Alligator mississippiensis: one gene and its partner. The protein of the gene in region 1 interacts with the protein of each later gene in a pairwise test. Links are inferred from orthologs where the notes say so. Each region holds a gene or a part of one and is shown on either strand. Other genes may lie near its edges.

Region 1 (7,608 bases):
GCTCTGTTGCCTTGCTGCTGGGAGTAGCTTGCTTCTTCCTTGACAGCAGGCATCATTCCTGTTCAATGCAGTGCCTCGTTGGCTGATAACTCTTTAAGCTTTCTCTTAGCAACAGAGAGCCCAGGCCTCCTGTTGCAGCATTGTTTTTTCTGGAACTGATTTGGCAGCTTGTATGAAATGAGCCGATGGTTGGTTTAAAAAAAAAAAAAAAAAGGCACCAAGTAGCCCATCTCCCACTCTTCTTGCCTTCTCCCTGCAAGGCAGGATTAACCCTGATGAAAATTTGCTAGCGCCTGTCTTTTGCTGCTCCTTGACTAACTGGCAGGCTTGCTATTGTGTTCCAGCACCACTGTCTTTTCCTTTCTGGCATCCAGGCTTCCATCTCTGGTGGCCAATACAGATGTTATAAATGATGCATCTGTTGCCACCTGGCAATCTTTTCTTCTTCCAGCTAAACTTGGGAGAAGGGCATCACCTTTTTTGCTCTCTTGTGAATTGCAACTCTGGGTTTGGGGCTGGGGAACAGGCTTGGCTTTGAGAAAGCTGTTCCTTGCAGAGTGCAGGAGAACCTGACCTGCATAGCAACCTTTGTTGGTTCTTGGCATCACTTTAGGTGAGCCTTCCCCAGGCCCCAAGGTCCCTGTTTGGGGGTGTGCCATTTGATAGAGATATGTATATTTTTTTAACATTCACTTTTTTCCTGTGTTCAAACTACTTCAGTTTCATTTTCTTGGCTCACACAAGTGCCATGTGGATCTAGAAGAGGTGTTGAGGCTCAGCCATACATCTTATGGATCTGCTTTGAACAATCACTTTTATCAGTATTTCACTGCCATGCAATGGTGGCACTAGACTATGCTAACACATTCAGTTGACCTCAATGCTACTTGGGTGCTGTCAGCAACCTGAGCATCTTAAATCCTCTATTTCTACTGGCTTTTTTTATTTCAAATGTATATCCTCTGGGGCTGCTAGCCTGTAGTTGCTTGCTGGCACTTTCCAGGCTGTCTTGCCCCTACATAGACCATGATGCTCAATTCTGTAACTCTTTCAGGTAAATACATATGGTACCCAGTGGATGCTTGATATCAAGTCTGGCTTCATCATTCAGCTAGCAGAGGGACTTTTGACCACTGGGGCTGGTGAGGTTGTCTTTTTTTTCCTCCTGTTACCTAGAGGAAAAAGCTCTGTAACCCAGAGAGAAGGCTGTACGGGCATAGAAGATACTGGGGGTTGCTTGAGGATCCTTCCTCAAACTGATGCATTGTTTTTCCAACTAAGTGCTTTTGTTGTTGGCGCTCTAGTATTTAATACTTGACCATGGCAGAAAACAGACAATTGCACCTCCTTGAAGCGTTTGATTAAAGCTTAATCTGTACAAACGATGCTGGGTCCCTTGCCTTGGTTTCCTGCCATGATCTCTTCTGCACGTGTCATAACTTGAAGGACTCTTGAGTTTTAGTTCTCAAATCCTGCCTCAGCCTCTCCTCTTCAACAGTTCCTCAGACAGCACAGCCTTTTTTCCCAGCAGTTGTTGGCTTTGCCTGACATTCTGGCAGTCCAGTCTGCATTCGTGAATGTTCGGGCCTTCTTTACAAGGGGTGGCAATGACCACTACAGCCACTGTGTTTTGAACTGAGTCCCAAAATGTGATGGGATTATAACACTATAGCTGTCAAACTTTGAAAGATATAGTGAGGCAAAGGTCTAGGCATAAGGACTAATCTGAATTTTGCCATTTGTCCTAGATTTAGACCAGTCTGGCTTTAATTTGATCCCATATTAACCTACGTTAGGGAAAGCCATGCTAGTATGGTGCACTTATCAACAAAATACTTCTCTTGATTGGTCTTCAAAGGAATTTGAGTTGGGAAATTGGAAGACTCAGTGCTGCTTGGTAGGAACCATTCTGCCCTTTGACTAATGCAGCAAGTGAAGGTTTTTCCTCCCTGAAGTTTTGTCAGCTTGTCTTGGGATGTACGTGCTGCAATCTTTCTGTCTGTTTGCTATTCTAGAAGCACAGCAGCCCGTGTGCAGTAATGCAAAGCAGTCCTAGCACTGAGCTTGCACTCTTGATGGCAGTCTCCTTCTGAAAATGTAATTGCATCTGGCTGTCATCTAAGTGATGAGTGGGGTGGCTGGGGTTAGAGGCTGCTGATTCATACGAGAGCAGTCCCTTTGGACTGACTCATGAAGAGCCATTTAAGTGCACAACATCCCAGACTACTTGCGTCTCCAACTGTGCATGTTGGAAACCACTAGAATTTAGCCTAGAGCTCTGAATAGCTTTCATCTTCTGGCCCTTTGTAAAGCTGAGTCATAATTAGTATCAAAGACTAGGTTTGGGTCTAAGATTTCTTTCTTTAGCACATGGAGTGGGGTGTTTCATTCCCTAGGTTTAGCACAGGGTTTCAGCTTGGATCCAGGAGGGTTCACATCACACCCCCCCTCTCCCCAATCCATTAAGATTTGACCCTTGTTCTTGTCCCATACAATACAGATCACTGTATTCAGAATATGCAGTTGCTGTTGGCAAAAGAGCTGGTGCAGTAACTTCAAGAGACCCTTCCCTGTGAAGCGGGCTGAGCCCTTTGTTGAAGGACAACCTGTAAGCGATAGTAGAACTTAGATGTGCAGTAATATTTGGGTTCTTGCTTTCCTCATTGTCTATGCAATTGGTGTGGGAATAAATGAAGGGTAACTCATCAACAGCATAGGGCCTTTCATCAACAGTCTGTTTTCCAGACCAATCTGGTGAAATATTTTTCTTTTTTCTTTTCTTTTCTTTTTTTTTTTTTTTTAAATAAGAATGGGACTTTTGCAAACAGTGCTGTGGCCGTTGGCAAACTGTGAATTGGGATTTTCTTTTGGGGGGGAGGGGGAGGGGTGGAAACCAGATCAGACCAGTAGCTACTGTAACACTGGCTAGAAAAAGATTCACTGAAGTGTGAATGGCGCTTTGGAAACCTTTTGTCTCCTGGATCCTTCACAGAAAAGAAGCTGGAGACTTGTCCTTTTTTTGTGTTTTTTTTTTTTTTTTTTTTTTTTTTTAAGAAGCAACCAGTTACAAACCCCATGAATGGTACTTATGTACTTATATTCTGTTACGTAAGTGCATGTCAGAGCATTAAACCACACATGGCCACACCCTGGAGTGGAGCTGGTGAGAGATTCTTTTTTTAAGTTTATTTTTCATTTACTAACCAGCTCATGTATGGGTTGCATTATAGAGCTGCGAGCACGTGTGGCAAAAGCAAGGGCAGTGGTAAGTTGTGGTTGCGGTACAGCGTTCAGACACCTGAATGCAGGACTTCCTGTAGCCACTGCAGTATCTTAAGGCTTTTTTTTTTTTTCTTCTTCTCCGAGTAAGGATTTTTTTTTATTTATTTATTTTTTTTAAATGAAGCCAAATACTATGGTTCTCTTCAGTGAGTCCCCCTTTAAAGCTACGGCATAGCTGTACCATGGTGGATTGAGAGGATGCCCACCCGACTCTAGAACAGACTAGCCGGCTTGATATGGAGTTGAAAGTGTGTTTCTCTTAGGTTTCCAACACTGTAACAGATGCAACATAAATAAAGAACCTGTTCCACAATCCCGGATACTGGGCGACTCTGGATTCTTTTATGAAACTTTGGGCATCGCCCCTGTGCCAGCGGGGGCCCGGGCTAAAGCCTGTCTATGTACACGGGGAACTTACCTGGGAATGGATTGGCAGAGGTGTGTGTGATTAATGTCCAAACAGAAGGGGTGAAACAGGCCTCGGCCTCTGCTTTCTTTAAACCTAAGCAGTAGCTGTACATGCCGGTCCTTCGTGCCAATAAACCGCAGTGTCCAGCTAGTGGGCTGCTCCCGCCGTCTCCGGCCCCACGGGGAAGGGATAAGTCCAATAACGCCGCCATCTTCAGACCCTCCCTTCCTTCCCCCAGCCCAGCCAAGCTTCGACCCTATCCCGCCTCGCTGTAGCTATGCAGAGGGAACGCTGCATACGTTTTATTTAATTTATTGGATTTAATGGGAGCGGCTCCACAGCTTTCCTGCGCGGGCCCTGGGGCAGGTGTTCATGTGAGAGCAGGATCCTGTAGAAGCCAGCTCCCACCTGGGTCCACGTTAAGCACTGATGATGTGGCAGGTGGGCTCTGCAGAGCTGCTCGGTTGTTTTTGGTACTGTGAGCTGAGTGCACCCGTGCCTGGACTCCAGGCTTTGTGTGATGTATGTAACGTGTGCCAGGCTGGTGCCATGCAGGCCTAGAGCTTGTTCAACAGGCTCTGCCTGCCTCCAGCTGTTGCCCCTGGTTCCCTGCCACGGGCCACGTCCTCCTGCTTAGCTGAGAACAGGGAGCTGCCCCTGCCCCAGAAGCTGCAGTGTGGGCCCCGGGGCCTGCTGGGAGCTGTAGTGCCGCCCTGTTTCCGGGGCACGCCGGGAGCTGTAGTGTTGCCGTGCCGCGGAGAACGCCGGGAGCTGTAGTGCGGCGCTGCCGCGGGGCCCGCCGGGAGTTGTAGTCGCGTCCTCCCGCCTCAACTGCCGCCTCCAACCGGCGTTTCCCGGCAGGCGCCGCGCGGCTTCGCGCGCGGATTGGCTGGCGGCGGGGCCGGCGCATGCGCACTCCACACACGCTCCGCGGCCCGGGCCGGAGCCGCTTCTCCGTCAGCTACGAACCGCGCCTAGGAAGCGGGGCCGCCGGGCGGGGGACGAGCTGTGGCGGCCTAGGAAGGGAGCGGGGCCCCTCGCTCGCTGGTTGACCGAACCCGGAGAGCCACGTCACACCTCGGGCCGGTGACGTCACGGGGTGCGTGTGTGATGTCACCGCGGCGCGGGGCCCGCAGCCCTGCGCGGGGGGTTGGGGATTGCAGCCGTTGGTGGGGGAGGGGAGGGGAAGGGGGGGTGCAGCTGGTGGGGGAGGGCCCCGGTGGCACCCCTCCCCCCCCGGGGCCCTGCGACGCGGGCACTCGGCCACGCTGGGGGGGGGGCCGGGGTGTCCCTGCGGCCGCCCCGGGCCCGGGCAGGCTGGGCACGGCCGCCCGAGTCCCGGGCGCGAAGGCAGCGGGTGCTCCTCTCTCCACAGGGCGCGTCGACACGGCGGGGAGAAGAGCCGCGATGAAGAACCAGGGCGGGGAGACCAAAGCCGTGGCGGCCCCGGCGAGCCCCTCCAAAGCCGGCGGTAGCGGCCTGGCGCCCGCCGAGGACGACTCGCCGGAGGCTGCTCCGCCCGCCGACGCCGGGGACTCGGCAGGCCAGCCCGACGGCAGTGCCGAGAGCCCGGCCAGCGAGACGCGGGAGAAGATGGAGGGTGCGTTTCTGCTCGGGCGGGCGGGCGGGCGGGCATCGTAGCTAACTCCTGTTTCCCCGTGTCAGGGAGGGATTAGGGTCAGGTTTGTGCATCCTAGGACATCCCGGACTACTGGCTGCATGCCTGGGATACGGGGGGAGACGGAGTCTCGTCCGGCTGTTGAGTGATTTTACTGTTATTGAGTTACTTATTACTCAAAGCCCTGGGACCTTCTGCACAAAGCTCCCCGTCTGCTCCTCTGTCCAGTCGTGTGAGCTGCCCCCGCCCTGAGCCAGGGCATCTGCCCCTCTCTCGGCGCGGTAAAGGTTACCCCTCCGCCCGGGGAAGCCCTGTCGAGTCAGCTCAGTGCTCGGTTGAATCGAGGCCTGCCTCCTGCTCCGATGGCTAGCAAACGCGGGATCTGATGAGTCACGTTAACTTAATAGCTGAAGATCCATTTGCCAACGGCTGCCAGTCCTCAGGAGATCTGGTCTGAGCTGTGTTGATGTCCGCTGTCAAGGCAGCACGTAGCGGCTGTCTCTGACCTACGTCCGATCCCAGATCATTAGTATTATTAAAATGTCAGGCCGGGGGGCGTACATTACCAGGCTGTGCCTGCGAAGGAAAACCGCTGCTGCGCTTGTTTCCATCAAGCAAGTGGAAGTTTTGCCACCGACAGATTTTGGCAGCCTGGTCATGCCACCAAGATGAAAAGAGGGTGGTGCATCTCTGCGGTCAGGGCAGCTGCACAGTGATACAGATGTTCCCCGACGTCGGAACAAAGCGGCTGATGCAGCTGGAAGTGGAGCTGGCGCTGGGAAGGGCTGTTACGTGCTTAGGAAGCTCTTCCCCTTCTCTGCTTGTAGGGGGTTGGCAGAGGCATGCTTAGAGGATGGGGATTGTGAGGGTAGGTGTCACATGCTCGTTCTCTTCTCCCATCTCCCGCAGCTTCTGGACAGGAGGAAGCAAAGGGCTCCCAGCCTGCCATCTGTGATGTCTCTGAGGAGTTGAGCAGGCAACTGGAGGACATCCTCAACACGTACTGCGTGGATGCCAGCCAGGAGGGCCCCGGGGATGACGGGGGGCAGAACGAGCCTGCAGAGCCTGATGAGGCAGAGAAGTGCCGGAGCGAATCTCCACGCAACGGGGAGCAGGAGCCAGGCTGCCCAGAAATTAACGGGGAGAAGGAGGGCTCGAAGGGGCCCGAGGAGTTCCGGACCGGTGACGAGTGTGGGGAGCGGGACCAGAAACGGACCCAGGAGAAGAAGAAAGCCAAGGGGCTTGGTAGGGGCTCTGACCTCAGGGTCAGCCAGCCTGGGGGACGGGGCATTTCACCTCTGCTGGTTTAGCAGCTAAATCCAGGGGGACAGGGCTCCTACCCAGTCCCTGCATGATAGCATCCATGTCTGTGTACACATCCCCTATGGTGAAGCCACAGACCAGTGCTAAAAATTCTGTGTTCCCTTAGTACCAGGGTGGATGTGTACAGCAGCGTGCACACACAGAGTGAAGCTTGTCCCCCTGCTTTCTGTAGGTGCCTGCTCTATGCAATAAAAGGGTGCAGGTCAGATCCTGCCAAATAAAGACTGCCAATACTTCTTGCGCTTGATTATGCAAGTACAGTAAATTGCATTATGTATGTGTTGGCAATGAAGGATATTTCTGGACATCCGCCCAGACAGGGTTAGCATGTAGAGCGAGTGTTCAGTTGCCTGTCTAATTTGCACCTACGTGGCATGACTCTAACATGGAGTTGTACGTGAAATTGCCTGCTAAGCCTCTTTTCCCTGCCATGGTTGGGGAGGGGGTGGTTAGAGAGTAGGCATGGATGTGGGAGTCCAGGACGTCTGGAGTTCTTTGCCCAGCTGCCCATGTAACCTGGTGCAGGTAGCACACAGACCACTTGCCCTGCCTTCTCACTGGGTCTCTGCTGATCTCCCTCACTGTTATATGAGCACCTCAGCTCTAACATAATTATCCTCACTAATCCTGTATGGATGGAGAGTGAAGGCACAAAGACTTAGTGGCTTGCCGTGGGTTACCCAGGAAGTTGGTGGTGTCTCAGGGAGTTTAACCCAGGTTTATTGAGTCCATTGTCCAAGAAGACCACTTCAGCCACCGTCTTAGTCACCCAAGGCACAAATGTCTTCGGGAAACTTTTACTAGCTGCTTGCCTCAGGGCAGGGGTTCTGCTCAGGCTCCGCCTCTATGCCTTGGGACTGGGAGCTCTGTCTGAAATGGATTTTTGCTTTGTCCTGTGTTCCAGGCAAGGAGATCACACTGCTGATGCAGACACTGAACACACTGAGCACCCCGGAGGAGAAGCTGGCGGCACTGT
Region 2 (7,560 bases), on another chromosome or scaffold:
CCAGAAACGGCTACTGATATTTCTAGACCCTAAACACTAAGAAGAGAAAGGAATTTATTAGAGATGAACCAGGGAGTTCTCCTAAGACTAACAAGATGGAACTGAGATAAGGAAAGTGCTGCAGGAAAAACACAAAAATATCTTTTTTTAAGTGAGATCCATTTGTCAAAAAATCTCTCAAGGACAGCCCCACTATTTTGGTCATTAAAATTGAGACTGGACACAAAAATCATTACAAGCATATAATGGCCCTGGGGTATGAATCAAATGTTTTTTTGTAATGCTATGACCGTGTGAGGAAAAACTATTTTTCAGTCCATATATTTTTCCATTGTGTTCCCAGTTCAAATTACTGGGGATAGGGGAACCTGAAAATATTGCCTTAATATATCCGCAGCTCTAGGTATTTTCTGGTAAAAGTGAAACTCTAACATCATCTTACATTTATGCAGCAGCTTTCATACCAAAGTATCCCCAAACATTTTATAAACAGTATAGAGCAAAATCAATTCACTCAGCCACTGAAATGTAGATACCTCTGAGGCAAAGCTCAGGTGATTATGTAGTTTTTAATGTCTATCATTTAAATATGTTTAAAATTCTTATTCAAAAACACACCTAAAGGGAAAAGTAAATGGAACTTCTTTAGGGATAGGATTAGGGATGCAGAATTGTGGAAAACAACTTCAAACACGTCTGCAACACCACATACCGCATGTTCAGCTGTTCTCTGCATTGCAAGGGAGCAGGTGGGGATGGGGGTGACCCCTTGATATCCAGGGGTCAAAAAAATCCTACGCCATAGAAAAGCAGAATGGTGCATGCAGGGGCAGTGCACACCACTGAAAACCAGAGCCTGGCTGGCCGAAGCCACACTCTAGCTACTGGCCAGGCTCTGAGCAGCAGGATCATCACTACTGCAGCCCCAGGAGCCCCCAGAATCCCAGGTAAGGCTGTTGGGGCAGCCCAGTGCTGGCCCCAGTCTCCCCTATCCCACCCAGGGCAACCTGCCATGCACCAGAGGGCATGTGGCACAGGCATTCCCTGTGGACAACTAGCAGTGGCACAAGGTACACTGCTGCTAATTGTCCCCAGGGAACCAAACATCCACATTCGTGTGAACACGGCCTATTTGCTTAAAATTAAAATATAAGATTTAGTCCTAGGAATGGGCAAACAGTTGGAATAGTGTAACATGGATTAGTGATGAGTGTGCTATATTCATGGTGGCAAAACAGCCGTAAAAATAATAGTAGTATTGATAATAGAAAGTAATAAAGTAATAGAATGACAAGAGAACCGACCTCATAAGAATATAAGAGCATAAGAAGTGCCATACTAAATTAGACCAACAGTTCATCTAGCCCAGTGGTTCTCAACCTGCTTAGGCTCAAGGCACCCCTAAATATACTTAAGGCATCCCTCATTAGGCTCAAGGCACTATTCAGAAATGTCAACTCTTAGTTGTCATTCATGTTTGACTGCAGAAAAATAACAGCATGATTCTTTTGTTGCAAAGAATGCAGAAGGACTACAACCGTTTTTAACACTATGTATTCCTATTTGAAATCTCTATGGGGGTATCTACACATGTACTTGACTGTGAAGTTCACTAATTAGCTCTGCAGTGAAGCATCACCGTCTACACATTCAATGCTATTAGGCCACAGTAAATTAATTACCTCTGCTGTCGGATAGTACTGCCTGGCATAAGTACTACCTTATGGCGGAGTTATTTAGTGCACTGAAAAGCACATGTAGATGCTTTGTTGTTTTCTGATTTCTCTAAATGTACCAATACCCTCCCACTCTGTCCCAGGTTAGGGTTAGAGTACTTTGAGTATAAACCAGGATGACCCAGGAGGTACAGATGAATTCAAGCACTTGCAATTATTCCTTTTGAGATTCTGTGACCAGTTGGTTACAATGATCAGACTAGTTTGATTTCCCAAAACAAGTACCACCTCTCCTGAGAGAGCACTCCTTTTTAAACCAGCCAGGGCTTTTTTGATCTCCTGTAATCTTGGGCCTTTTTCTGTCCTGGTATTACCTCTTAAAATCTTTAGCAGTCTGCTAAGTGCAGGAAAAGCCTGACTGGGCAGCCGGGGCAACTCAAGGAACCTAAGGGCTCAAGCCAAGGGTAGGGGAAAGCTGAGGAGGAGTTTTACTCAAGCACTACCCATTCCACCCCCTTCCCTGCCAGCAGCGCACAACTGGCCACTGGTTGAGTGGCTGAGTGCAGTGGTGTGCACGTGCCCAGGTGCCCAGCTGTCATACTAGCCAGAGGTGCCAGCCACCCAATAAGCCAGTTGGGACAGCAAGTGAGGCCAGCATGAATCCCCCAAGCTAGCATAACAGCTTGGGGATACTAGGGAGGTAGCAGCTGGGCAGCGGGCACGCAAGCAAGTAGCAGGACCTCATTATTTAATTAACCTCCCTTATTCTCATCTGGTGCCTATGAGAAAACCCTGACTGTAGGCAGCTGCTGGGGCTCAGGGAACCAGAGGGCTCAAGCGAAGTGGGGAAGAAGCCAGTGGGGGCATCACTTAGGCAGCACCAATTCCCTTTCTTCCCCACCAGCAGTGCACACCTGGTCACTGGCTGAGAATGCTTGTCCACCTGCCTAGCTCCCATGCTGTCCAGAGGAGCCAGCCAGCTGCTGGGGCTGGGGACAGTGGGACAGTGAGCGAGGCCAGCATGAATCCCACCTCCACGCCAGCAGGACAGCCAAGGGAGTTTGCAGCAAAAAGACAAGAAGCCATTGTTTAATTAATAGTGTTCCGCATTCTCAGTTTTTACCAATTTTTCACTAATAAATTTCCTGATTTTTTTAAAGCCATTTGGTTGTTACTAATTGCACCCGTTTTTCAGTTCAAATGGCCCATTCCCCACTTGTGCCAGTTAACAGGGATTTGAACTGAAAAATGGGTGGTGCTGGTGAACTAAAAGTGCCGCTGTGCCAGTTACCCGAGACACAGGTTTCTGGCTGGACGTAGGGGTGGGGTGACAGTGGCTGCACGGGAGTTGGGGGAGGGTGGCTGGAGCCGCTGCCTAACAAGAAATCTGACCAACCATTGTGTTTAATTTTCAGGTTTTGTTTTTTTTTTATATTATTTTTTCATGAAAAACATGGTTAGAGAGAAGGTTAGTGAACTTAGGACTACCTGCAAGAGAAGGTTGAGAGGCGACCTTGTGGCTGCCTATAAATTCATCACGGGGGCACAGAAGGGAATTGGTGAGGTTTTATTCACCAAGGCGCCCCCGGGGGTTACAAGAAATAATGGCCACAAGCTAGCAGAGAGCAGATTTAGACTGGACATTAGGAAGAACTTCTTCACAGTTCGAGTGGCCAGGGTCTGGAACGGGCTCCCAAGGGAGGTGGTGATCTCCCCTACCCTGGGGGTCTTCAAGAGCAGGTTGGATATGCATCTAGCTGGGGTCATCTAGACCCAGCACTCTTTCCTGCCTGTGCAGGGGGTCAGACTCGATGATCTATTGAGGTCCCTTCTGACCCTAACATCTATGAATCTATACCTGCCTATGCACAATCAGTAGAAATCAAGAAAATCCCTTACAATGGACAGAAAATGTAAGATATTCAGATATTCAAGTGCAAATAAACCTGTTTTAAGAATGAAAATACATGGAATTCAGAAAGTGCTTTTCCTTCACATAAAAGCCATACTATATTAAATCAAAGCCCATGAAAATAAGTACCATCTAAGTACCGTAAGTTATTTGCATAGCAATGTGAAAACCGTTTCAGGTTATTTTGCACCAGCGCAGTTACTTGTTTAGAAGAAAAATGGTAATTACATTGTAGCCTGCCTTCTGCCTATTGTATTATCTACCGATAACAGCGCTTCCACATACAGCTTTGCGTCTCCGCTTCCCCTCATCGTGCTCATCAAACCAAAAGGAAACGTTTTTCCCTGGGTGAATTACACCGGGCTCAACGAGACAAAATTCACCTCAGGCTGGGCCCGGCTAGCACGGCTCATCCTAGCTGTGGGCCAGAGTCATGGCTGTAACCTCCCGCCGCACGGAAACGGTACCGCTCCTACACGCTGGCTCTGTCTGCGCAGATTTCAAGCCGCACCAAGGTATCACAACGGTACAAATTAAGCCTCCTTTATTGGGACGCAAAGTTTTGACTGTGTTTTCACGGTGTTGCCCTGGTCTCACACAGTCTTTTCCATGTCCCCTTGCACCCGGGCGTGCCGCTTCCCCGGAGGGCCAGCTCTTCACACCACCCAGGGCCCACTTCAGCCTCCACCATGCAACCCAGCCAGAGCCCGAGCTGGCATATTTGCAAGACAACACACTTGCCCCTTTACTGCCCAGTCTCCAGCCAAGCCTACTCTCCTCACCCCGCCTCCAGACAGAGAGCCCCAGACCTGGTGCACTCACAGCCTATAACCCCTCACCCCAACGCTGCCACGACCCCCTCTCCATGTCCTCCTCGCTGCCCCTCCCGCGCCCCGCCCCCAGCGCCGAGGCCCCGCCCCCGTCCCGCCGACGCTCCCGCGGCGTGTTCGCGTTGCCCCGGTAACGGCGGCGGGAGCCGGGGCCGGGAGCGCGGCGGGAAGCGCCCGGCGCGGAGGATGGAGGCCCGGTGAGCAGCTGTGGCGCGGGCCGGCTCCTGACAGGGCCCCGCAGCGCCCGGTGACCGCACGGAGCCGTGAGCCCCCTGGCAAGTTGCCCCGGGTGGGGTAGGGCAGGCTGGGCCAGCCCCAGCAGCCTTCCCTGGGTCCTGGGGGCCTCCCGGGGCGCTGGCTGGCCAGGCTCTGGTTTTGCCTGCGCTGTTGCACTTCTTTGTGGCATGTTTGTTTGTTTTTTTTAAGAGACTGGGATTTCCCAGTATCAGATATTGGTTCCTTGTCACCTGCGCCGCCTCGCCTGCCTTTTGCGGCACGTGCCCGCTGGTCCCCAGAAGAAGGACACAGGGGGCAGGTTTGTAACAGGGCAGGGAGCAGAGCTCTGCTCCTAGTCGGGTTATTTCTGTTTCACAGCCCTGTGCGCTGTTAGTTTTGGGGGTTTTTTTTAACTTTAGCTAAAAACATTAACTCAGGTGTGGAAATGTTAACTCGGGTGCGCGTTAGGTCAGGTGCAGAAGTCGCTGTCCGCGGAGCATCGGCGGCGCTCTGCGGGTGTTCCAGAAGGCATGATTTTGTTCTCTGAATCTGAAAAAGACACACGCATTTAACATGAGTGACTCCAGGATTAATGAAGCAGCATTTTTGGATTATTTTTTTCCTTGTTTGTTGTGTGTTTATATATGATATTGCCACATGCCAACAAATGCCATTATATATGATATGCCACATGCCATTATATATGATATAATCCACATGCCATCAAAGTTTTTTGTTTGTTTTTTGCTTCAGTTTCAAAGTGAATAACTAGCTGTAGTCCCCGCCTTATTAATGAAGCATCTTGCTTATCTTTATCTGTAGAGAAACATGTGTTCTGTTTTATATGATGCACCACAGCATCTGCACCCCTCTCCCCCTTTTTCAAAATCCTAGATCTGCCCCTGTAAGTGATAATTACTTTGCATGTGTGGCCAGTCTAAATTTATTGCGGAATTAACCAGTTAACTATATAATATATGTAGCATGTAGCAGGAGCCGGAGTGTGGCACGCAAGTCTACCTGCAATGTGTCGTAACGGTTGTTGTAGAGAGGAAGCAGTGGCTTGGTGTGTCTACACATGCATTTTAATGCGTATTAGCCTATTTTGATGCATATTTAAGTGTCACAAGAAGTGTGCTGTTGCTAATGCACATTAAGATAAGCTAATGCACCTTTTTCTAGTACTTCACAATGAAGATACTAAACTTAATGCGGATTAGCAAAAGTGCATTAATGAACATGTAGACATGCCCACTGTGAACCAGCTTAATAAAAGATTCATCTAATAAACTAGGGACTGTTCTCATAATTTTTTATTTATATATTTATTTATTATTTTTATTTTATGCATTTATTATTTACTTGTTTATAATATTTTTGGTATTTTCATTTCTTCATGTATTTAGTAAAAATAAGCATTTTTATTTACTTCCCTAATAAAAAAGGGAAAGTGGTGAGGGCTTTTGCTTATAACTTTTTTTTAATGTTTTTTTTTAAAAAGTTGTTGCTAAGCAACAAAAACATATGTTTAAATATCGAGTTATTTCCAAAACCTGTGCTCCTAAAAGCAAGGAAATTAATTGTTAAGGGTATAATCAGACATTGCTCACATAATTAACTCCTTGTTCATCCTGGGTGCTTTTATACATGTGCTTTACTGTGGAGTTGACTAATTAACTCTTCAGTAAAGTGTCCTGGTCCACATGTGCTCCTATATTTAGGGATCAGTAAATTAATTAGCTGCAGTAAGATAGTACTGTCTAGGGCAAGTACTACAGCGGAGTAATTTATGGTGTCTCAACACACATGTTGACAGTGACTGAGGCTGACTGGGGCATGAGAGTGCTAGTGTGAGGGCTGCACTAGTCCTACACTGTAGCACCCTTGTGCCCTAGTCAGCCCCTCCACTGCCCAACGCCAGTCTGGGGCTGCTGTACCTTGGCTCTAACTGCTGCAGTTCTGGGTGCACGTGTTTGCACTGTGCTTGGGAGCTGCTGACTGGTGTGAATTGTACCAGAATGTATTGCTCCATGTTAATTGCATGTGTGGATGCACCCACTGGGCATATCTACATGAGACATTTACTGCACAGTAGACTAATTAGCTGCATAGTAAATATCATGCTTCTACACATGCACTCCCATTAGGCTGGAGTAACTTAATTAACTCTGCAGCAGACTAGTACTTGTAAATACAAGTACTATCCTGCCATGGAGTTTTTTTACATGTAGACACTGCCCCGGTTGGCTGAGGCAAGAGGGCACTTCAGTGCAGGGGCTGCCCACTTGCTAGCATGATGTTGAAGCACCCTCTTTCCCCAGCTAGCCCCTCCACAGGACATTAAGCAAGGGGGAGCAGCCCTGAGCTGGCAGGCTGATCCCCCAAGCCCACTGCCAGCCAGGGCTGCTCTGACCTGGCTCAATGTGCTGCGGTTCCAAGTGCACATTTCAACAGTGCACCCAGAAGCAATAAAACTCCAGAGCAGTAAGCTCCGGAGTTTATGTATATACGTTAATTGCATGCATAGATGTGCCCGCTGAGTAGTAAAAATGCGCTTTTCCTCACAACTGAGCAGTCTTTTCTTTGATACAAAATAAATACCATTCTTCCACCAGAAGTCTCAAAATATTAATACAACAAAAAATATTTCTAAAAAAAAGAAATGGAAACATAGGTGAGATTATGAATTCAGTACAAGGGATAAACAATACCATACAAATCAATTACTTCTTAAAAGTGGTGGGATCTGGCCCTATATAGTGATCAAGTTCAAATACACTACCTAATATGTTTATAACTATATTGCAGTCTATCCTGTTCACTGGTACAAAGGAACACAAAGGGACATAAAGCATCTCTTTAGTCCCTTCCACCAGTGTCCCATAGTGTTTCTTCCTGCTTGCGGCGCAAAGCAGGGCCATCGCCC

Evidence for each region. The genes of interacting proteins can lie anywhere in the genome.
Region 2: the proteins of TXLNA (region 1) and DEUP1 interact in binary tests that used the Homo sapiens proteins (3 or more experiments, as listed by UniProt). The two-hybrid records come from large-scale screens. The link is inferred for Alligator mississippiensis from reciprocal best matches to the Homo sapiens genes TXLNA and DEUP1.

The regions. Positions count from the first base shown.
Region 1 is NC_081829.1:5,547,756-5,555,363, forward strand, and holds the start of TXLNA (alpha-taxilin), read left to right. Parts: upstream 1-4,596; 5' UTR 4,597-4,790; intron 4,791-5,066; 5' UTR 5,067-5,098; coding exon 5,099-5,291; intron 5,292-6,218; coding exon 6,219-6,554; intron 6,555-7,536; coding exon 7,537-7,608. UniProt on the Homo sapiens protein: May be involved in intracellular vesicle traffic and potentially in calcium-dependent exocytosis in neuroendocrine cells.
Region 2 is NC_081824.1:448,092,717-448,100,276, forward strand, and holds the start of DEUP1 (deuterosome assembly protein 1), read left to right. Parts: upstream 1-4,553; 5' UTR 4,554-4,604; coding exon of another isoform or gene 4,605-4,615; intron 4,616-7,560. UniProt on the Homo sapiens protein: Key structural component of the deuterosome, a structure that promotes de novo centriole amplification in multiciliated cells.